Oryzias latipes: one gene and its partners. The main gene of each other region encodes a partner of the protein of the gene in region 4 in a complex. Links are inferred from orthologs where the notes say so. Each region holds a gene or a part of one and is shown on either strand. Other genes may lie near its edges.

Region 1 (4,867 bases), on a different chromosome or scaffold from region 4:
CCTGAACCAAACTATCAGCTGGTTCAGTCGGACAGTGATGAATAAGAAGACCAACAATTAATGGGACCAATTGCTGGAAATGAAACAACATGGTTTGAAGGAGCGATGGTGGGCACATTTATTAATCGAACACTGTCATTTGCTTCCTTATTGTTTCCTTCTGTGCTCTATCACTTTCTGTGTTCTGTCCCAACCTACTCCTGGTATAGAAGTTGAAAACCTGAATGCTGCGCTTGGGCTGAGATACCAATGCATGGAAGCAAATGCTCCACCTATCTGTAAAAGGATTGCAACAGTGAAAATCACAACAACATTTACGACTAAGGGAATCTATGTAAACCTGTGAACTGTCTGATAACTGGCTAGATGAATTTTAGCATCATTTGTCTTTGCAAAGAAAGAAAAAGAAACCTGAGCAAAAGCTAGAACTCAATTTAAAAATTAATGTGAACATCACTGTCTTGACTATTCCTGTAATCTGAGTTGGATTATTTCTGCCTATTTTCCTCCTTAACGACCCAATCCGAAGAAAAACCTTGCATTTTTCTTTCACAAATTGGATTTCGGAATATTAGTTTATTCAATTGTTGTGACATCAGGAGCAGACGGAAAAATATCCTTTGAAAAAGGTTGTATTTTTAAAAATACCCAGGCTGGGCCTCAAGACCCCCCGCCCCGCTCCGTTCCCATGGATCCACTTGTAAACGACTAGATTCATGTACGTCTTTGTTTTCCTCATCCGAGCTGACATCTGGCCCAAAACTGTACGGCTGGACAGCGCCGAGTTATCTGGGAACGAGACAGGTTTATCTCAGAGTCAAATTTCTACTGAACTCCTGCCACTCTGCAGAAACTATGTCCTAGAATGTTTGGTTCAAAGTCATTATTCTTTTGTTGTGGTGATTTTGGAGTGAACTAATGCACATTCCTATAACAGATTATTAAGTATTCCTCAAAATGCGTTTTATAGGGACAGTGTAAGTTCAGATGGAAGCTAAATTTAATGAAAAAAGCATGTTTATGTTTTAGAAATATGTGCTGTTGGTTTTATACAATGCTAAATCCAATCTGCCTATTGCAGTCCCGACTGGGGAAACAGCTTTTACACACGAACAAAATACCTACACCTGTGGCTTCAAACTGTTGAGGAAGATGTCAATGTGTTCCTGTAGTACATCTCCATCTAGGTGAGCCAAGAAAGTATAGATTTGGACAAAGGTATCAAATGGGATCCTTGCAGCACCACCCTCCTCATCATTTGTCAGAATCTCACAGGCAAACTTCATGGAGCTTAAGAGGGTCTGGAAAAGTGCAGAACGACAAATAATGTCAAGAACTTTAGATTCTTAATAGTAATAGTTACATGGGATGAGCATTCATGTAAAATCATGCCAAAGATTCATTCAAAAAAACACACATACATATATGTGCAAAGCTTCCCCTAATGGATGCAGAGCAACACTGCCCCCCTGTGGTTACAGCACCACCCTGCAATTGTTAACGTTTGGCAGCATTCACTTAAACATTAAGAATCTATTTTTTTTAAATCACCAGGTTTTTTTTCTATAGTGATCAATATAATTGTCGAACTTCAATCAGTCCAAATTTAAGGATTTACAAGATGACATGTCTGAAATGAATCTACTCTAGATAAAATAAAATAAAATAAAGTTTTAAGGTTTTTCACTGTGGGTTTGAAATCATAGTCAAATAAAGTGCAACTGAGTGTATATTTTTGTAGCACCTTACCCCTCCTAGAGCACTGCAGCCCAGAGCGAAAAACTCAATCCAGTCGATTTCTGAATCAAAGCCGCCCAAGGACAACAGAGTATCCAACTGATTGGGTGAAAGACACAAGCCCTTCCATTTGGCCTGCAGTTCCTCCTTGCTACATGTTTTCCTGGAGGACAGCTAAAAAAGAAAGGAAAGAGTTAACTGGGATCAGCAGATTATGTTACTTGTCACATTTGCAATCAAAAGGATTTGAGATCTTTTTGCGATTTTAGAAATTTTCTTTTTTGAATGTAGTTTGCACTTTTTTTCCAGTGTGTACCATTAAAAACTTCCGACATAAATGGAGGCATTTCTCAAAAAACGTTTAAATCAGTACACATCTTTTGGTGTTGACAATATCTAGCAAATCAAGGTATAGAATAAATAAGGAAAATAAAATGAAAGTTAAACGGTTTAAATGGCCAAATTTGAAAAATCTGAGTAATTAGAATAAATCTACAAAAAACACACAAAAACAAATACAAACAAATGATTCCCTTTCTTAAACAATGACAAAAATATGTGCAATGATAAACCCTTGATCACTACTGCCTGCCTGCTGTTGAAAAATACCTGCTTGTGTAGGGTTTTTAGTAGACCTGGAGTCAAGCTGGGGTCCATTTTCTGGGTGGTGGCATCAATCTCTAGTCTGTCCTTGACAGGAAGACACTCTCCTTTAGACAAATCATTGAAGTACCTGGATTTAAAAAAAAAATCACATTAATATAAAAGATGCTGCAATAAAAAATAAAAAAAAACATTCAATGACACGTTAAACCAGCCTTGAAAATGATGATTATTCATCTGTTTCACTTGTCGTAAAAACTGCTAAGTCAACTCCAGAACCTATGGATGACTAACGATGTGACTTTCATCAACTGATGATGTGTAGAAATATTAGTGCATTACAATATTGTAAGATTTATGTATGCATAGATCTATTAAGGATCTGCCATTTAGTTTAAGATGTGGACTTGGGCCATTTTCATCGTCTAACTTTTACTTTCTCTAATACTCTGTCATAGATTTGATGTAATGCCTGGAAATTATGATGATCAATGATCCAGTTCGAGCCGAGCTCTAATTGTTTTACAGGAAACTTTGCATTGAATCTAACGTACATAACTGATGTATTAGCTCTGTGGTAGTGGTAACATGCTGTGTGATTTCAAAAAAGAAAATATTTACTAAACAAGAATATTGCTTTTGCAGTTTATCTGGTGTTTTGCAACCATAGAAACTCACGCTGCACTAGCCGCAGGGGTTGCAAGCCAGTTGCCTCTGTGCCGGTCCCAAGCCCGGATAAATAGAGAGGGTTGCGTCAGGAAGGGCATCCGGCGTAAAAATTGCCAAAATAACCATGCGAATCATCCACAACACTTTAGACATACCGGATCGGTCGAGGCCCGGGTTAACAACGACCGCCACCGATGCTGTTAACCTACAGGGTGTCGGTGGAAATTTGACTACTGTTGGTCGAAGAAAGAGGGGAGGCAGAAGGGTCCGGGGCCAGAGAGAGAAGGGAAAAGGCAGGAACATAGGTTTGAGAATAGGGACTCTTAACGTTGGCACAATGACAGGGAAAGGCAGAGAGCTGGCAGACATGATGGAGAGAAGGAAGGTAGATGTACTGTGTGTGCAGGAGACAAGGTGGAAGGGCAGCAAGGCACGTAGTATTGGAGGAGGATACAAACTGTTCTATCATGGTGTTGATAGGAAGAGAAACGGGGTAGGAGTGATTCTGAAGGGGGAGTTTGTAAACAGTGTTCTAGAGGTGAAAAGAGTCTCAGACAGGATGATGAGCCTAAAGTTAGAAATTGAAGGGGTGATGGTGAATGTAGTCAGTGGGTATGCGCCACAGGTTGGCTGTGAGTTAGAAGTGAAGGAGAGATTCTGGAGTGAGTTGGATGAGGTCATAGAGAGTATCCCCAGAGGAGAGAGAGTTGTTATTGGAGCAGACTTTAATGGACATGTTGGTGAGGGCAACAGAGGTGATGAGGAGGTGATGGGCAGGTTTGGTGTGAAGGAAAGGAATCTGGAGGGACAGATGGTGGTGGACTTTGCGAAGAGGATGGAAATGGCTGTAGTCAACACTTACTTCCAGAAGAGAGAGGAACATAGAGTGACATACAGAAGTGGAGGTAGGAGTACTCAGGTGGACTACATCCTATGTAGACGAGGTCATTTGAGAGAGGTTAACGACTGCAAAGTGGTGGTAGGAGAGAGTGTAGCCAGACAGCACCGCATGGTGGTGTGTAAAATGACTCTGGAGGTCAGGAAGAAGAAGAGAGGGAAAACAGAAAAGAAGACCAAGTGGTGGAAGCTACAGAATGAAGAAACTTGTGAGGAATTTAGGCAGAAGTTGAGACAGGTCCTGGGTGGTCAGGATGAGCTTCCAGATGACTGGGAAACTACAGCAGAAATTATCAGGGAAACAGGTAGGAAGGTGCTAGGTGTGTCATCTGGAAAGAGGAAAGACGGTAAAGAGACTTGGTGGTGGAATGAGGAAGTACAGGAATGCGTCCAGAGGAAGAGGTTGGCTAAAAGGAAGTGGGATGTAGAAAGGACTGAGGAAGGTAGACAGGAGTACAAGGAAGCGCAGCGTAGAGTGAAGAGAGAGGTGGCAAAGGCCAAACAGAAGGCTTACGATGAGCTATATGACAGGTTAGACACAAAGGAAGGAGAGAAGGACTTGTACAGGCTAGCCAGACAGAGAGACAGAGATGGGAAGGACGTGCAACAGATAAGGGTGATTAAGGACAGAGATGGAAAGGTGCTAACAACTCAGGAGAGTGTACAAAAAAGATGGAAGGAGTATTTTGAGGAGCTGATGAACGTGGAAAATGACAGGGAAAGAAGGGAGGAAGATGTGGTTGTTGTGGAGCAGGAAGTAGCAGAGATTGAAAAGGATGAGGTTAGGAAGGCTCTGAAAAGGATGAAGAGCGGAAAGGCCGTTGGTCCTGATGACGTACCTGTGGAGGTATGGAAGTGCCTAGGAGAGACAGCAGTGGGATTTCTAACAAGGTTGTTCAATAGGATTTTAGAGAGTGAGAAGATGCCTGAGGAATGGAGGAGAAGCGTTCTGGTTCCGATC
Region 2 (6,045 bases), on a different chromosome or scaffold from region 4:
AAAAAAAATCCACAAAATTCCCCTTTTTTTTACTACAAATAATGGGGGGGGGGGGGTACTTAACTTAAAGCGCTTGAATTGTTTGAAAGTTACACACTGGGAAGAAACTTCTTACCGCCCGTCAAGGTTTTGAGCTCCGTGTCCTCCAGATGGTTGAGCGTGGCTTTCAAGGGAGCTGACAGAAACATGTCAGTCATGTAGTTCAGAACCCCAGCAATGAGGCCACCGACAGCGGCCACAGCGTCACCAACAATCCCCAAAGCCATTCTGGATCTCTGCACGCGCTCCTTCACTGCATCCCAACTCCACACTCACACAAACTCAGGAGTGGAGACGCATTTAAATTCCAGCAGGGTTTTAGTCACCAGTTTGCTTTTCCCTTCCCAAAGCCCAGCCCTCTTTCAGCCTGAAATGCTGATTAGACACCCAGATTACATGCAGCTGCGCCTGATCTGCGCAGACATCTGACCTTTGAACTGCAGGGCAACAACAAAGCCAGGAAATCTAGGAGGGTTAACTTTCATGGTCAAAGGTTGATGAAGATTCAGGAACTTTGCCAGAATAAAATACATGGAAACAAATATTTATGGAGAAATAATAAATAAATATTTGTTTTCCTCTACAAGCCTTCCCTTCATACTCATTTTTAAACTCAGATTTAGTATAGATGTAGCTTCTGAACTTTGAGCTCAGTAACAGAGCAGTCTCATTGTGACACACAAGTAAAATGTGGAAACAAGGCAGAGCGATGGGCAGTTTTGAAATATGCAGTCTAATAATAGCTACAGCTTTTTTTTCAATTTAAAATGACTTTATTAAAAGTTTTGAACACTTCTTGAACAAGCCATAAAAGACAATAAAATTACAAAAATCAATATTTGTCCTTTCATGCTTATTGTGAAACAGTGAGGTGGCAATTTTTTATACGATCTAAATAACAAAAACAATATTAACTCATTTTTAATTTACTCCAATAAAATAAAATATCAAAATGTTAAACAAAGATATCAGGAAAAAAATAGCACTTTTTATTTATTTATCTTGTGATCCGTCATTGCTGTCATATTCCGGCAGTCTTCTGATGACTTTCTGGTTCCTTCCAATGACTTACTGGTCCAAAATTTCCATCATGCAGCCTCCTGCAATAAAGTGTCCAGTAAATACCAGCAAACGTTTGCTCCTTTCTGTACTTTTTGAACACACATTTTGATGTACCAAATATTTGAGAAAAACAACAAATACTTACCTTTTCTAGACCGATAGGAGATGGACTTGCTTTGATTTCTCTCATCTCTTCCTCCTTTTCTTCATGGTTGCGGTCAGTTATGTCTTCCTCTTTTTTTTCATGGTGAATTGTCTCATCGGGTTGAGCATCTTCACTCTGGAGCACTGACGAGGACCGGATGACATCTTCAAGTTTCTCAGTTTCCACATCATCAGTCTAAGAAAAAGTAAAGAAATTACATTTAAAAAACACATTTTTTGAAGAGTTTTAGGACTTTTAGCTCAACATAAGAACTATTAAAAGCATTTGTTTTATTAAAGCAGACTGCAATGTATTTCAAACTTGTATTATACAGCATTTTTTAAGAATCAATGTGCAGATCCTGCCTGTAACGCTGGAGTAGATTCCTTAATTCTGTCTCTGCAGTGTGCGTGACTCATCTGGAGTCGATTTTATCAGCAGCCTCCCTCATGCGCTGCCCATTTGCCTCCTGATGCTTAACTATTGAATAGTGCTGTCTGTCTCAGCGTCTGTCTCTAGTGTCTGAGCTAATCTGTGGCTCCTCAGAGGGGGGTTAAAGTTTTAGGCCTTTAAAGACCCACTCTGATGAAAACTGTGTTTTTAACATGTTGTTAAAAACAATGGCCTGATATTCAAAAGATGTCATGATGGCGGACATAATATGAAAAGAAAGTTAAGCTCTAAATTGTATTTTTAAGTACCTCTTTTTTCAAATTGTTGTTAATTGGGAGCAAACAAAAAAATGCAGTTTGAAAAAGATCATATTTGTTATGTATCCAGGTACGTCGGCGTTTTCTTCGTCCAAGCTGGCATGTGGTTCAAAACTGTACATCTGAACAGCTCCGGTATTGCTCACCATTTCTGTTGCACCAGTCATGTTAGGTGGGTGTGAGGGGCTGTAAGCTAACGGGAGAGGGTTTCAAAATACTGGTACCGGTAAGGGGGGAAGGGGTCAAACCACCCACGAATCAGAGGCATATTTCTGATGAACTACTACTGCTCTGTAGAAACTATGTCCCGGAAAACCACAGATTTTAGATTTTTGACTAAAATCTTCATAATTGATTGATACGGCACAATCATAGTCGCAGACGCGACGTTCACCTGAGCCCAGCAAAGCTGTGAATTAACCTAGCTGGGAACGTTTCCTGCAAATGGTGAGATGGCCAGCTTGAATTGTTCCTGTGACTAAACAAACCAGGCTATTGCAGTGCTAAAGAAAAAAAATAAAGAAATATTTTGAAATCTTTCCACTGGGTCCCAGTCAGCTTTAGGATTGATTCTAAAGTTCTTTTCATTTGTTTTTAAAAGTTTAAATGGAGTTGGCCCCTCATTTTTTTATTAGATTTACTTTTAGTTTATGACCCTCCTAGATCCACAGGTGGAGGTGTGCTGGTGGTCCCAAAAGTCAGAACAAAAACCCACGACGAGGCCTGATTTCAGTACTGTGGGCCTTCCATGTGGAACGTCTCCTCAGGCAGGTGAGGGCTTCATCCACTGTGGAGGTTTTTAAGAAAAAAATTAAAACTCATTTTTTTAGTAAAGCCTTTATGTAGTTTTTACTTGTCAACATGTTTTCATTAGATTTTATAAATTTTATCAGCAATTGATGCGCTTCATTTTGATTGTACCTGTGGGATGTGTATGTTTTGGGTCTGTATGTGTTTTAATGTTGTTAATTTTATTTTATCATTATTATTTTTACTATGTTTGCTATTTTAACTACTGTTTTTTATCTTACAATTATCTATTTTATTATGGAAAGCACTTTGAGAGGCTTTGTAGTCGAAAAAGTGGTGCACAAGTAAAGTTGAATTTGAATTACAAGACCACTGGGAATTCTGTGAAAATAGATCAAAAGATGGTTAGAGTAGGTCTTTAAAAATGTCAGCTATGCATTCAGGATGTTTAAAATCAAATACTTTTAAGTTAGCAATAGAAAGTGAGAAAGTACTTTCTCTGTGCCTTTTGATGCATTACTGATCTGCTCCTCTTCTGTGAGATTTTCCTGATGTGATGCTTCTTGGCTGCTTTTTTCCTGATCTTGATCCAGCAGAGCCAGACTTGCCTTCTTCTGCAAATACAAAGGTGATACAGGAACAAATCTAAGCTTACAAGTCTAAAGTTTACAAGTATACATCTTATATAAACCATAAAATGTTTAAACTTTCATTTTGTTTTAAGTAGGGCTCAGCTGTGTGTCAGTAGAGGTACAGACAGTTTCTGTGTTAAAGGTAAAAGGTGAGTCTTTGTTGTTGAGGCCCTACTTATTTTACATCCTGCAGCATAATGAGTTTACGTGCTCTAACACTGTTATCCTCTTAAAACCTGTTTGACGGCATGCAACAACATGGGTATAATCAGAAGCAGCTGGAGTGCAAAATCTAGATCCATCATTTTAAAAAAAAAATGACACTATGGTTGGTGTGTTTACACACTTTTCTAATAGTTTCTAATTCAGCACTGCATTTGCAAGACAACGTTTCAAAAAAATTATGATATATGCAATCACTTTATGTTTTTATAGCGTTTTGTAAATGGAAAACACGGAAAAGTAAACCACGTAATGCTTAAAAACACTGTAAATCAACAACTTTTGTGTTTGCATCCTTTAGTGCCCCCTGCTGGTGAAAACAACAAAACGACTCACCTTCTTCTCGTACAGCGTATTTGAGTTATACTTGTACAGCCAGTGGGCCAAATAAAGGATAGGGTCCACGGGTTTCCGTTCAACCACTTCAGCAAGTCCTTCAGCCAAACATTTCCCCAGATGTTTATTAAGATACTCCGAATCCATCATGCTACACGTTTTCTGATTGTTTATCTACAGAGCAAATATGGAGGCTCGGAGCTATTAAGGCAATAATGACGAACAAAAATGACCTGAAAGCGATTTTATGGATAAAACCTGCACAAATTAGCCAAAATTAACACGGAAATTACCGTATTTTACTGTTTTATGCGGACGGTTGCATCTCCGTGGTAACGGTCCCACACAGTTTAAAGTCTCCCAACCGTTTTTTAGTTCCGCTTTGTATTCGATGTCATTTCTATAATGCAACCATTGGTTGTTTCAGGCATTGTTATTACTACTATAAATATGATGATGGTGATGATGATTTTTATAATAATAATAATAATAATAATAATAATAATAATAATAATAATAATAATAATCCTCAATTATATTAATAACACCCCCAAAAAAAACTACAGACAAAAAGAAATATTTGTGAAAAAACCTCATTGTCATTCATACACACACCCATACACAGACGCACAAAATAGTATTTGTGAAACAGATTAAATATTTTGACGAGAAAGTGATCATTTTGAGATGTGTTTTAAATTGCTTTCCAGTAGTTAAACTCAATAAAACAATATTAAAATTCTTTTGCATCTTTACAAGTTTTGCTTCAATGTGTTATGAAGCAGAAAGAGACATCAGTCACAGAATGTCAGAAATTGGGGGAGGAATAATTCAAAAGACTATGTTAAAAAAGGAATTCATAAAACTAATAGTTATCTTAATCTAAATGGTGCAGATGCTACTACATAGTTATTTAATAAAAGCAGAAATAAAATTGTTGGAAGATTCTATATTCACACTCAAAGAAAAATGTGATTTGTGCATTTTTACGAAATTTTTACCACTAGGTGGCGCAGACCCTGTTAGTCTTACTGACTGCATAATAGATATATTAAAACATAATGTCCTATTGTACAGTCAATGGCTTTATCTACTGTTATGATAAACTGTTCTGTCCTTAAAAAGTGGGCCATTTGGTAATATGTTTAAGTAGAAAAATGGGAGAAATTGCCACTTATAATAACTGAGAAAGATACATGTCTAGAATGTCTTATATATATTTTTCATCTTTTTCCCCTCCATATTACATTACAATTTCTTGCACTGGGATTTTTGCAATTGTTTGGATTTTTTTTTGGTTCTGTTATTTACAGAGTGGCAGTCTCATTATAAAAAAAAACCTTGTTTTAAACAAACTGTTAGAAACAGACCTCAGTTGGAAACTCCCTCTTTATCCCTGTTTTATCGTTATATGACAGACAGGGCTGTGGGTGGTAGTTTGTCCCTCGTGGTGTTCCATAGGTTAATATTCATGGCCAGCACCTGTCTGTTGAGCTGTGATTGGCTCATGAGGCTGATAAATAGCAGCTGTGAGTTCCACCTAGATGCTGGTTTGGCCTTGGTGGGTGAGCTTGACATGTGGGCTTTTTTTTTTTTTTTTTTTTTTTTTTTTTTTTTTTTAAGCTAAAGCTTAATCATTTGAGTCCTTTTACAAAAGTTTTTTAAGCATTTGAGTTTGCAACATTTTAAATTCTATTTATATTAACAGGTGGTGGCATGAGTTCTGACCCTGGGGCATGAGCGGTAACATAAGGGTTTGTAAACATGTATTTGTCCCAGGGAGAACTAACTTATTTTTCTTTTTCCAGCAGAGTTGCCACTGCTGTTTTGCTTAGTGTTTTTAATGTTTAAATCAAGCTTGACACCCTTGCTCTTATCCATTTTTTTAAACTGTTTGCTCATTTTAGTCTCTTGGTGGTTGGACCTGGCTGGAGGTGGCTGCCTCCTCCCTTTATCCTTACGGTAGCTGGTGGGTGCCATGTGTAGTATTGTGTAAGGGGGATTTCCCCCCCCCCCCCATTTCCGGCCTACAAATTAGTGGTGTCCTGCTCAGTTGCACCTCTTCTGTTTTGTATTTTCTTTTAATCACTGTTTGGGTTGTGGTGTGTTTGTGTGAATTTGGGCCCTGAGCAGGTACTCCTGGTGAGGG
Region 3 (6,141 bases), on a different chromosome or scaffold from region 4:
ATGATATCGTCAATAAGATCACATACAAACTGACGTACACATCTTAGAAGATTTTGACGTATTTGTGGTCTGCATTTTTAGATTGCAAAAGATATGGAACGCTGGGCCAAAAGCCTCAATAGACAAAAGGAGAACATGCGATCTGGTTCTTCGTCTGCCGTTGGGTCCACTTCTCTCCCACCTGGATACACTCGGGCTCCAGGCCACAGTCGCTTGGATGATCAGAGGGAGTCTGCAAGTGCAGATGCAGGATACGCTGTACTAGAGAAAAAGGTGCACGAGGCCAACGTACACACTTGGCTTAAGGGGATATGTCTGTCACAATGCATTTGGACTTAAGACTGGATGGTTATTTACATTTTCTTTTTTGTCCTACAGGGGGCACTGTCAGAAAGGCCTCAAAGTTTTCTGGACCAACTGCGACAAAGCACAGAAGTAAGAGCAATGATGTAGAATATTTGCTAGTGTTTAATCATACTTTTTATAACGTCATTTTGTTTTTTACAGTTAAGAGATTCAATGTATTTGCTTTGCACTTCATCATCATCGTAAAGTCTTGATTTTGACTCTTTGTGTAGCAATCGCCTCCTCAACAGCACGGCCTGGTCCCAGCCTACAGCGCAGAAACTGACAGCGAAGAAGAAGGAGATAAAGAAGATAAGGAGGGAAAAATGACAGACTGGGTTAAACTTGCCTGTCTGCTATGTAGGAGGCAGTTTCCAAGCAAAGAGGCGCTCATAAGGCATCAGCAGCTCTCAGAACTGCATAAGGTACGTTTATTCCATTTTAATGCCAATAAAGATGTGAAACAAAAGATTTTAGACAGTCAACAAAAAGCGTTGGTCTGTTACACGTGTCTTCGTGTACTAAATGAGAAAAAGAAATTGACCAAAATCTTTATTTTCACGTTTGAACATTTTGTCCTGCGTCTGTATCTTTGTTTACAGCAAAATTTGGAGCAGAGAAAAAAACAATTGGATGCTGTAAGCAGAGAGGTTGGTCAGTTCATGTGCATGGATTGTACAACAATACATGCATTCAATATTGAGTGGTTTTATGCAGTTTCTACTTGTGTTTTGACATTGCAGAGACTTGAACCTCCAGATTCTAGGAAGCGAAAGTTTAACCCTCTGTAAGTCAGTGATGCTCAATACTTAATACAAATAATGTAACTTTTTTAAGGTGTGTTGCCTAATTTTTTATATCCTTTCCTTGTCTGTATAGTGAAGGCATCACCGGCATTAGTCTTGGAGCACGAATGTTGCAAGGAGGAGTGAAAAGAAGTCTTCTACTGCATAATACAGAAATAGAGTGACCTCTCACATGTAAATTTCCTGATCCAGAAAGGACAAGCTCACCTGCAAAACACTTCACTCTTCCCCATTACATAGACAGAGAAAAATATATTTTGGTCTGACGATACTAGAGTCTGAAGAACATAGCACCTCTTTGGACTGATCCTGTAGCAGTACATGTCAAGATATTGCACAAATTGCACCTTTTTGCTTGTTTTTTGTGTGATTTAGGATTTCCTCTTGCTTCAGTTTGTGTGAATTAAACATGTGAATTCAGAATCACTTACTTTCAGAAAAAGGAAAGTTCTACACAGGTCTAAATGTCATGAAATGAGAATTTTCAGTCACTGTACCATATAGTTTTATTTGTTTTTTAAGAATATGCTGTCATTTAATAAATGATGGGTCCCAGCATAAACTGTGTATATTTCAGAAGTTTTTACGGAAACACTTTTGTGTGTCTGTGTTGTTGTTTTTTTTTTTTTTTTTTTTTAATATGATCACTTACTTAATTGGTTGTGCAGAAAAAAAAACGTTCTTTTGCAGAAGTTGAGTATCTGCAAAAGTCGCTTTCTACAAACAATGTTTTCTTTTTTTGGTTACATATGAACATACTTTTTTTATTTCATATTTTTGGTAGTCGCAGTTGCTAAACTAACTTTTTAATTTCACTTACAAAAAATTAAATACTGCAAGTGTAAAATAGATTAAAAAAAATGTTACATTTTGACCAACGTCTACTTTTGTTTACTAGTATTTCACAATTTTTGTCATTAAGTTTGGCCCTACCCGAAGTTGGGGTTAGTTGTTGCTGTGGAGTTTCCATGGTAACGCTATTAGAATTTGGTATGTTCGGTGTAGCTCGTACCATCCATACCCAAATTAACCATAATCCTTGTTAAATATTATCGGAAAATAGAGCCTTTGAATTGCTCGTGTTTCCACTCATTTCCGCGTAAAACTGCACTATTGCTTATCGTCGTACCGAATGCTGGAAGCCTGTTGGCTAGCTTAAAGTCGGTTCAATCCCGCTATGGAGGAAGAAATTCTACTGTCGGACTTGGAAGATGAGGAGGAAACAACTAATGCGAAAGGAGAAGGCGATAAGGTACACAAAAATCCGTTAAAAAAAAAAAACACACATTGATTTTTACAGAAACTGAGGAAAAAAAAGTTCATTCGTAAACTACAGTAATGCATTGACAGCTACTGAAATGAATTTCAAAACTTCTGTTCATTAAAATAAAGCTTTTTTGTTTTGTTTTTTTAAAGGCTCAAGCACACACATTGACCAAAGACATAATAAAAGAGGGACTTTCATTATTGTGCAGGACAGTAGACAGACTTGGACATGCTTTTATTAAATTAAACCTCAATAACATGTAAGCAGACAAAACACATTTTAACTGGACTGACTAACCCAATCAGCTTCTAATGGATTTTTCTTTACTACCTACTTCACAGGAAATTAAATGATCTAGCTGCGATCAGCGGCTACATTCACATACGTTTATTGGATTTATCCAACAACAGCCTTACTGATCTTTCTCCTCTGGCCTCCCTAAAGCAGCTCCTGTGGCTGAAGGTAGCCTACTTTATTTAGATTTGTCTTGATCATTTCTGTGGCAGATTCATTCATTTGAAATGACATTAATTGCTGAATTGTTTCTAATTTCCTCTATGATTGAGAGGTAAAAGGATTTAGTGGTGAGCCTCTGGTTTTAAAATGGTCCTTCAAACAGCACCAATAGTTATAATGGGTTGTCTGTACATTCTTAATGATCGACAAACTGCAGGTTGACAAAAATGATGTGGCGAGCTTCCGAGGACAACCGTTTGCTGAGCTGATCTATCTGCAAAGGCTAAATATGGCAGCAAATCAGTTAAATGATGCCGATGGCCTGGTTGGGCCCGCCCTGGAGAGCCTCAATCTTACAGGTTATTGATTAATCTGTATTCCAAAATTTAAAATAATCTAATTTTTAAAATTATATATATATATATATATATTTTAAAATTATATTTACGATGTAAAATACTTTCTATCTCACATTTTTGGAAATATTAAACATTTAAAGCCTAGTATAGATTTTAAGTGACACAGTGACCTCTTTTTCAGGAAACAAAATTCAGTCGCTGCATTGTTTTCAAACTAGCTGCTTTGGAAATCTGCTTACTCTGGAGCTGAGAGGAAACCATTTGGAAACCACTGATGGCCTCAACCTTCCAAATCTGCAACGATTATATCTGGTACATAAAAGCTGTTATTTTATTAAAATGACTAATATCTGTGAAAGTTCTTATCACTAAAATTATGCTCTTCCAATACCGTACCACTATTCCTTACAACAATATATCAAAATATTGATTAGAATTGCTATTACCTTTTTTTCCCCTTTTTCATAGGCTGATAATGGGATCAAGCATCTTGAAGGTCTAGACAAGTTAGAGTCTCTCGCCATCCTTCATATTCGAGATAATAAATTAGAAACTCTAGAAGGCCTCAGTCCCAACATGAAGTGTCTTCAGTATCTAAATGTCAGGTATGTGTAAGAAGGTGAGAGACCCATTGTGGTACCTACAAAAATTCTAAGAGTTCATATTTTCTGTTTGTTTCCATCTTTTAGAGGCAATTTAATTGCAGAGGAAAAAGCTTTGCAAAGCATTGGCCTTGTGGCAAAAAGCCTGCAAGCATTGGTTCTTTCTGAGAACCCGCTGGTGGCAACAGCAGACTATCGCCCCAATGTGTTGACACTTTTACCGCAGCTGAAAAGACTCGACAAGGAGCCTGTGACACCTGCGGAGAGGGGTGACAATCAGATGAGAATCAGAGTAAATGCTTAATATTTTTGTGGTGTGATCAGATCACATATTCTGGCCTTTTTTTTTTTTTTTTTTAAAAAAAGGACATTTCTATCTTTTCAGGAACTCGAGGAAGAGGAAGTACCTGAGCCATAAGATTTCATAAGATCTTTGTGAGAGGAAGTGCTGGGCATAAAAAGCAGGTCTTTCAAGAGATGATGATCGTGATTGCACATCAAGTTTGATTTTAGAAAAGCTTTCTTTCCAAATTGTTACAATAAAAAAATTGCCTTGTGAAGTGTTTTTTTTTTTTTTTTGTCTTAACAAGAACAATCACATACACAACATGTAGTTGCAGGATTAAAGGTGGGGCTGGTTTATAATCCATGCATTGTCATACATTTTTCCCTGAGTAAGAATGAGAGGGCAAAATCTGACCGCACTTCCTAGTTGGCTGACGTCCACCTGCGACCTTAAAGGGACAGTAACATAAAAAAAACGTATGTGAAACATTATTAATGCATAACCTGCATGTTCTAATTAACTGTTTAATGGATGTCAGCTATATTATAATATATATGTTTAATTTGTTGCAGTTTTGACAGTTTTCAATAACATTTTCACGCTGCACCGTGATGCATTTGTGTACATATGGTATATCTGTCACCGGTCTTATTGTTATCTGTGGAATTTATTGAGATTTCCTAACATGAAATTTAACGATAAAACTTTAAATACGTCTTTGAAGATGAACAGTTAAGGAGTTAAGTAACAGCCTCTCAAATAAAGCGCGATTTGACGTAATAGGATTGCCTTTTTCTGCTCCCTCCCCTTCAGTCGTCCCCTCCCCTCCTCTCAGGCTCGCATTGGGGCAGCTAGCATCGGCGTGGAGTAGCACTGAACCCACGACACCCGAGACGCACTGCAGTTAAAACAACTCACATTAAATTCACTTTCATTAACGTCCCTTTCAAGTCCAAATAAACATGGCTAACTATCACAAGCCCGACGAGAAGACCCTGCAGGGGCTGAAAGACGTCGCTAACAAGCTACGGATCAACTCCATTAAGGCAACATGCGCCTCTAACTCTGGGTAAGTTTTTTTAAAATAATAATTCTGGAGTTTAATGAAGTATTGCGTTTGAAAGAAAAAGTGACTACCGAGTAAAGGCGTTTAACTGCGAGGGCCTGTTTGCACGTGCGGTGGATTAGTTTCACGCGGCGCAACTTCGCAGAAGCTAGCGTGAAGTTTCAATGAATGCAGTTTGTCTGCTTTTACTTGCCGTACATTTCAACTCAATGCAGCTAACATTTTTTTACTATGCAGACAATAAAAAACCTATAGAAGGCATGATACTGACATTTCGAGTCGCCATTGCTATTTATTAGCAAATAGATCACATGCTTGTGGTGAGTCCCGTGGTTAGTACAACACGGTAGATTCTACAGCTGTGATTATTTGTTTTTAAATTATTTTTTATTGTTCTAAAATGTATGTAATGTTCAATGTGTCAAGTTTAAAAACGAGCACTTGTGCCATTGTTTTATCTCCGACTTTAGCCTTATCGGGTTTTCCGATCAGCGTCAAAAACCAACTCAAACATCGTGTTTTCATAATAAACCACTTGAGTTTATAGATGGATCCAAGTCCAAACGGAAATCTTCATTTTATAGAAGTGCTTTTTTATGCCGGTTGTCCTTCAGAGCTTTCACGTGGATTTTGCTCGACTGCCTGTCGGCACGTTCAGAAATGAAAGTCCAGCCAGAAGACACGCTGCTAGTTATCGACCCCATTCATCAGCAAACTCCTGCAATAAGCCAGGACATGCAAACTCTGACCCTGTGATTGACTCCATTCATGATCAATGAAACAGTTTTCTGTTGATTGCAATTGGACTCAAATGGATTTTCTAGAGAGGCAAATAGAGGAAACAAAGCTTTCAATCAACTTTTCTTTTTTTTTTAATCACTTCCTCATGTTTTCTTACAAGGAAATTGGGTAAATGTATTGTGAAAGTCTGGGAAGTCAAACACCTGTTGTGAC
Region 4 (5,969 bases):
CAGATCATGAAGTTAAGCAAATTAAGTCGCTAACCTTCAAAAAGAAAGGCTTTACTGATAATCTCGTGCTTGTAAATTTTGTAAATTTATTTTAAAAAATCACATAAGCATTGACCTGTAATCAAATAGATTCCTGTAAAACCGTATGTGTTTGATTTTGCAGGATGAAGGCCATACTGAGTGGGTGTCTTGTGTTCGCTTTTCTCCAAACAGCAGCAACCCCATTATTGTCTCCTGCGGCTGGGACAAGATGGTCAAGGTTTGTACTTCCGCTTCCCTTCATTTGCCATTAGATTGATTTAAAAACAATAGAAAAATATGCTCCATGATTTTAAAGAAGTTTGCATGTATTACCTGACCTGGTTTCTGATGAGAAGCTTTGTGGATGAGAGCACGTCTCCACAGTTTTATCTGGTCTTTTCATGTCAGTGTAAACTTGACGGTCACTGTCTGCTGCTGTTTCTATAGGTGTGGAACCTGGCGAACTGCAAGCTGAAGACTAACCACATCGGCCACACTGGCTACCTGAACACGGTGACCGTATCTCCTGACGGCTCCTTGTGTGCATCCGGTGGAAAGGTAAGCTGGTTCAGTTGGAGAACTCGACTCGTATACTTGTGAAGATTTTTAGTGATGGCACACAAAGGCCGACCTCCAGGTGTCAACTGTGATGGATAAATAACACATCATTCTGTTGGTAAACAATTGATGACAAAAGAGGCTGTTTCTGAGTGACACTGAGTCGTAAAGCCACGCTAAATGAAGATCCAGAACAGAGCTGCTGTGTGGTCATGGCTTATTTTCTTGTTAATGTTCTCTCAATCAGGACGGCCAGGCTATGCTTTGGGATCTGAACGAGGGCAAGCACCTGTACACCCTGGACAGCGGCGATGTCATCAATGCCCTTTGCTTCAGCCCCAACCGCTACTGGCTTTGTGCCGCCACTGGCCCTAGCATCAAGATCTGGGTGAGAGCTCCTACGTGATGATGTGGAACTACTGCTGAATGTGGTTTGATGGGCCTTGATGAAACTTGAAAATGCTAACTGTATTGCTTGATGATAACAGAGGCTGTTTCTGAGCTCCAGACTAATTAGCTTCAGTCATTTCTGTACATTGCCTGTTATTTTGAGTTGTTTTAGTCATACGGTAAATGTTTATTCTGTGTGCAGGATCTGGAAGGGAAAATCATTGTGGATGAGCTGAGACAGGAAGTGATCAGCACAAACAGCAAAGCCGAGCCCCCACAGTGCACCTCTCTGGCATGGTCTGCTGATGGACAGGTATTCAGCTCCTCTTGACATAAGTACAAGATGGGGCTGTTGCTAAAGCTAGTCTGTCCTTCTAACCCCCAGTGATTATACCCATTCACTATTAGCTCTGATTTTGACTGCTGACAGTCCTGCAAATATGAGGGGAAAGGACAAAAATCAAGGCTATAATCAATGTATTTAATGGTTTTTGTGATCAGTAACTTCCATCCTTCATTTGCTTGCAGACCCTGTTTGCTGGTTACACCGATAACCTGATCAGAGTGTGGCAGGTCACCATTGGAACCCGATAAGAATCCATCGCTGCATCGACTTTAAATAAAAAGACTGTTTGAAAAGTTGTGTGTTGGTCTTAACTTTAAATATTTTACTTTCACGCAGATTGAGTTTGTCATTTTAGAAGACTGCTCATAATCAAAGTTTTACTTATAATATTGATGCAAGATCATTTAAAAAGCTAGTTAACAAATTTAAGTTTGAAATGTTGAGGTCTACATTGAATCATGAATAAAGTTAATTGTAGGAGTGAAACATTTGAATTGATTTATATTCCTATGATCCATCCAGATTGATGCATGTGGCAAGTTAATCAAAACACCCCAGACCATTATAAAATCGTTTAGAAATGAAATTAATCAATACTGGAAACTGCCTTTTGGATTGAAGCATGGGTTGCAGCAAAAACTGATCATTCCACTCCAATGTGCAGAAATACTTAATTTTGCAAAGATGTGACCATCCAGTGTGGTAGAATGTTCTCTTTGGATTAGGTTGATGTGGAAAAACAGTGGGCTCAACTTTATGAAACTAAAATGTGAATGGATTTGACATTAATTCTTGTTTACTAGTTTTTTTGTACACAATTTAAACTTATCTTGTAGGAAATACAAGGTACCAGGTATTTATCCGAGTCACACTGAAGTTTTGGCTAAAGATCTCCTGGATCCATTTTAGGTCAGTGAATCGGATCATTCAAACTGAATCGATATGAATCAGCAACCATAAATATCGAATTATTGCTAAAATCTATCATTACACCCTTAGTTTTCATTCTTAAAGGCTTCTCACGTGGCAAGTAGGAAATAAAAGAAGTTTGTCCCTCCTCAGCTCCCGTACTTGTGAAATGGTAGCGTAGCAACCAAAACAGCGCAGGGGTATTGAATTGGTGGGACGAGGAGGACTTCTTGTCGTTCCTATAAAAATCAGTTTTACTTTGCGTGAGACAGAGATGGAACTTACGCATTTAGGCGATCAAATTCGTGTAGAACGAACACTGGCGATCATAAAGCCAGATATCTATGAAAAAGCCGAGAAGATCGAAGGTTTCATCCTTCAGTCGGGCCTCACAATCCTGCAGGTTAGTAAATCACTGATGCGCAAACCTACACGTCTGAGAACTGAGACTATTTACGTTTAGAAGGAGTAGTTTTCTGTGTGACCAACGTTTAATTAACGCAGTGGACACATGTCTACTGCCATGTGAAGTTTATTAACAATAAAAATAAAGGTTTTTTTTGTTGTTGCTAGAAGTATAAATAAAATGCTGTGTAGAAACTGTTTATTTTTCCAAAATGTAACAAGAACTCACACACAGTGGCCAAATGAGCAGTGAGATCATTTGGCCACTTGAGGGCGCTAATCCAAACAATTCGGTGAGCGAGCTAAAGTCATTTCTGACACAATTAGCCCTTGTGCTATCCTAGGCTCTTAAACATTGGGAGTTGGGTCATCTAGACCCCACAATACAGTGCGCTGAACCTTTTTTCTTCAATGATTTGCAATCTTCACTGGTGTCCATGAAATGTAGGATGGCACAAGGGTTAGAGATGCAGAAGACAAGAAGTTTTTTTTAAGGATGGTACAAATAAAATTTCTCAGTCACGTGAAGGAACAGTAATGTATTAACCTACAAGATCTTCTAGCTTTCAGAGCAAAAAAAGGTTAGTGGTTTCATTATAACTGCAGGTAAACGTCAGTTTTGAACAGCCTACTCTAGCTGTTAATTCATGTAGGATGTTTGAAAATCATGAGGACATACGTGTTTGAAAAAAACCTTTCTGTCAAGTTTAAATAGTCATCTCTCCTGCCATGGTTCTGCTGTCCGTTCTCCAATCCTGTTAGAAGCGAAGGCTGCAGCTGAGTCAAGAGCAGTGCAGTGACTTCTACTCAGACTGCAGCGGAAAACCTTTCTTTCCGAGCTTGATGGCTTACATGAGCTCCGGCCCGATCGTTGCCATGGTGCTGGCTTGTGAGGATGCTGTCACACGCTGGAAGTCCATCATTGGTCCTGCCAGCATCACAAACGCCAAAGAAAGTCAGCCAGAGTGGTCTGTTTCATGTTTATTTGTGTTTATACCGTAACAGAGGAGTACATTTGTATTTATCAGTGTAGATTTTTCATTTCATTACATTCATAATAGAATAAATTTTACTATGACATGTCAATGAAGAATATCTGGATCAGAGGTCTGCAACCTGAGGTTCCAGAGCTACATGCAGCTCTATTATCCCTCAATTGTGGCTCTTTGGCTTTCAAGAAAAAAAGCATACGATTGTAATATATCATGCTTTTGTGGTTTTGGTTCTTTTTTTTCTCTCGTTAAGTTGTCAGTTATGCTTAGATTTTTATCTCAGATGCCCATACTGATGCAGATAAAGCACATTTTCCAATCTTCTGCTGTACCACAGTGTCTAGTTGCTGTTCAGAAGCAAAGTATTCAAAGTAAATAATTGTGTTTACATGTATGGATCTAGAAATAATGATGTCATTAATATATTTGATAGTATTGTAAAAGGTAAAAAAGCAAGACTGTGCACCAAAGACATATTTGTAAAACATGCCATGTTTGATTTGCAATTTTATTAGCCCTTTTAATTCTGTAAATCTGCTAACTTTAAATCTGCTTTAGCAGATGTTTGTATTTTATTTTGAAAATGAAATTGTTGTGCAGTTCTTAAAAGTAAAATAGATGTGATTAAACAATTGATTAAAACTATGTCATATATATTTTTCACTTTAATTCAGTTATTGTCGATGCTATAAAGCTCCATGTTGTGAATGAATGGCCACAAAAGCATGAATAAGGAATTTTTCCAAACTTGTGAAGTGGGACTTTGCGGCTTCTACTGTGTTTTTCTCAGTAGAAAATTAGACCAAGTGACTCTTGTAGCTTAAAAGGTTGCAGACCCCTGATCTAGATCTTTAGTCTGATGATATGGCTGATTTTCTCCAGTCTTAGAGCGAAATATGGAACTTCTGACCTGAAAAATGCTCTTCACGGCAGTGAGTCCTTTCAAGAAGCTGTGAGGGAGATTAAATTCATGTTCCCAAACTGTAAGCTGTTGTTTCTTTTTTACACATTTTGTTGTCTATAGGGCTACTACAACAAATACAAAAACATGTAAACTTGTTTTAATCCTTCACTCACAACTAGACTGAATTTCTTTTCTACCAATTGTCACCATTCTCTTCGTATTTAATGTATAATTTTATATGACTTAATAGATGTTTCCTGTTTCTCTCTGTAGCTTTCATTGAGCCTTCCCCTTCAAAGCATGAAACCAAGGAATACCTGAGCAGGTGTCTGAAGCCGGTTTTGCTTCGTGGACTCACAGAGCTTTGTAAAGAAAAGCCCCTCAATCCTGTTGTTAGTTTACTCTATGCAGATTTTTCTTTTTATTGATTAGTAGCATTTTCCTGTTATTTAATTATTTATTTATTTGTTTTTATTTACAGATTTGGCTTGCTGACTGGCTGCTGCAAAACAATCCGAATCAGCCTCAAACATATTTCTAACTCTTGGATGATATCAAAATAAAAGACTCAGGAAGTTCCAGATGTATTCAATTTATGTACCACTTTCTATGAATAAACACACAACTTTCAGCTGTGTTTGTGCATTAAGTTTGTTTTGTGACATTATCAACTAAGTTTTGTTCTAAATTGTATTCGAGTGTTTTTTCTAACATACTGAAAGCTTTTATATTTTTTAAGAATTGACTAGATGAATGTGCTGCATTTGAGTTGCGTCGAAACTTGTGAAAACGGAAGATTTTCGATCGTTAATCTCGCTACGGAAGCGTCATTTTTTAAGTAGAAAAAACACTTGATGTTTACAACATTGTCGCCGTCGTATAAAGTGTTCATCAAATTACAATTACAACAGGCATAGAAAAATGTAAACAACCTTAATAAAGTTAAGTAAAAAAAAAACAATAATACAGAAAAATACAAACTTAAATAAAAAAGATTAAGATAAAATTAAAGAAAGGGGATACATGGGCGTTGTAATGATCATTCATTTAACTGATATCAGTGAACGCCGCACTTCTTTTTTTAAACTCCTTCCCCTCGTCTGCGGGGCGGAAACGAGTGGTGTTAAAAAAATAGAGGAGAGAGATTAACTCTGGTGTGATAGGTTGATTTGTGATTGACAGTCGGCCTTGTCCAATCAGAAAGCTTCTTTGGAAAAATGTCAATTTTTTCCCCCTGCCGGTTCCAGAAAACCAACCATGAGTTTCTCGTCGCGTGGGAGAATCCATTTTGAAGAGAGCTCTCCGGCTGCTAGGCTTGTAAGTAGACTGTTATAATTTTTTTTTTCATCATAACTCGACGCAATCGCAATTTTACCTGCATTCTTTGTTTGTGTTTTAAACGGTTCTCATTATATTGATTACAGAAGAACGATATTTCATGATT

Evidence for each region.
Region 1: nme5 (region 4) and ropporin-1-like protein share a complex: the UniProt entries of both Homo sapiens proteins name them as parts of the axonemal radial spoke complex. The link is inferred for Oryzias latipes from reciprocal best matches to the Homo sapiens genes NME5 and ROPN1L.
Region 2: nme5 (region 4) and DPY30 domain-containing protein 1 share a complex: the UniProt entries of both Homo sapiens proteins name them as parts of the axonemal radial spoke complex. The link is inferred for Oryzias latipes from reciprocal best matches to the Homo sapiens genes NME5 and DYDC1.
Region 3: nme5 (region 4) and lrrc23 share a complex: the UniProt entries of both Homo sapiens proteins name them as parts of the axonemal radial spoke complex. The link is inferred for Oryzias latipes from reciprocal best matches to the Homo sapiens genes NME5 and LRRC23.

What each region holds. Positions count from the first base shown.
Region 1 is NC_019878.2:13,553,960-13,558,826, forward strand, and holds part of ropporin-1-like protein, read right to left. Parts: intron 2,471-4,867; coding exon 2,347-2,470; intron 1,912-2,346; coding exon 1,750-1,911; intron 1,302-1,749; coding exon 1,126-1,301; intron 1-1,125. UniProt on the Homo sapiens protein: Functions as part of axonemal radial spoke complexes that play an important part in the motility of sperm and cilia. Important for male fertility.
Region 2 is NC_019877.2:16,024,941-16,030,985, forward strand, and holds DPY30 domain-containing protein 1, read right to left. Parts: upstream 4,258-6,045; 5' UTR 4,190-4,257; exon of another isoform or gene 4,130-4,189; intron 4,071-4,129; 5' UTR 4,047-4,070; coding exon 3,897-4,046; intron 3,321-3,896; coding exon 3,201-3,320; intron 1,442-3,200; coding exon 1,247-1,441; intron 1,140-1,246; coding exon 1,128-1,139; 3' UTR 1,008-1,127; downstream 1-1,007. UniProt on the Homo sapiens protein: Functions as part of axonemal radial spoke complexes that play an important part in the motility of sperm and cilia. Plays a crucial role during acrosome biogenesis.
Region 3 is NC_019865.2:13,825,517-13,831,657, forward strand, and holds lrrc23 (leucine-rich repeat-containing protein 23), read left to right. Parts: upstream 1-2,063; 5' UTR 2,064-2,328; coding exon 2,329-2,403; intron 2,404-2,567; coding exon 2,568-2,677; intron 2,678-2,759; coding exon 2,760-2,880; intron 2,881-3,091; coding exon 3,092-3,233; intron 3,234-3,414; coding exon 3,415-3,545; intron 3,546-3,701; coding exon 3,702-3,838; intron 3,839-3,922; coding exon 3,923-4,127; intron 4,128-4,220; coding exon 4,221-4,253; 3' UTR 4,254-4,395; downstream 4,396-6,141. Other genes in the region: RNA-binding protein 10, read left to right, coding at 82-273, 379-435, 579-770, 948-995, 1,089-1,132, 1,225-1,315; transketolase, read left to right, coding at 5,084-5,190. UniProt on the Homo sapiens protein: Essential for sperm motility and male fertility. Plays an important role in the proper assembly of the third radial spoke (RS3) head and the bridge structure between RS2 and RS3 in the sperm flagella.
Region 4 is NC_019868.2:17,075,160-17,081,128, forward strand, and holds nme5 (nucleoside diphosphate kinase homolog 5), read left to right. Parts: upstream 1-2,376; 5' UTR 2,377-2,498; coding exon 2,499-2,627; intron 2,628-3,391; coding exon 3,392-3,597; intron 3,598-4,503; coding exon 4,504-4,604; intron 4,605-4,798; coding exon 4,799-4,917; intron 4,918-5,006; coding exon 5,007-5,066; 3' UTR 5,067-5,162; downstream 5,163-5,969. Other genes in the region: rack1 (receptor of activated protein C kinase 1), read left to right, coding at 164-259, 469-579, 827-967, 1,172-1,282, 1,498-1,563. UniProt on the Homo sapiens protein: Functions as part of axonemal radial spoke complexes that play an important part in the motility of sperm and cilia. Does not seem to have nucleoside diphosphate kinase (NDPK) activity.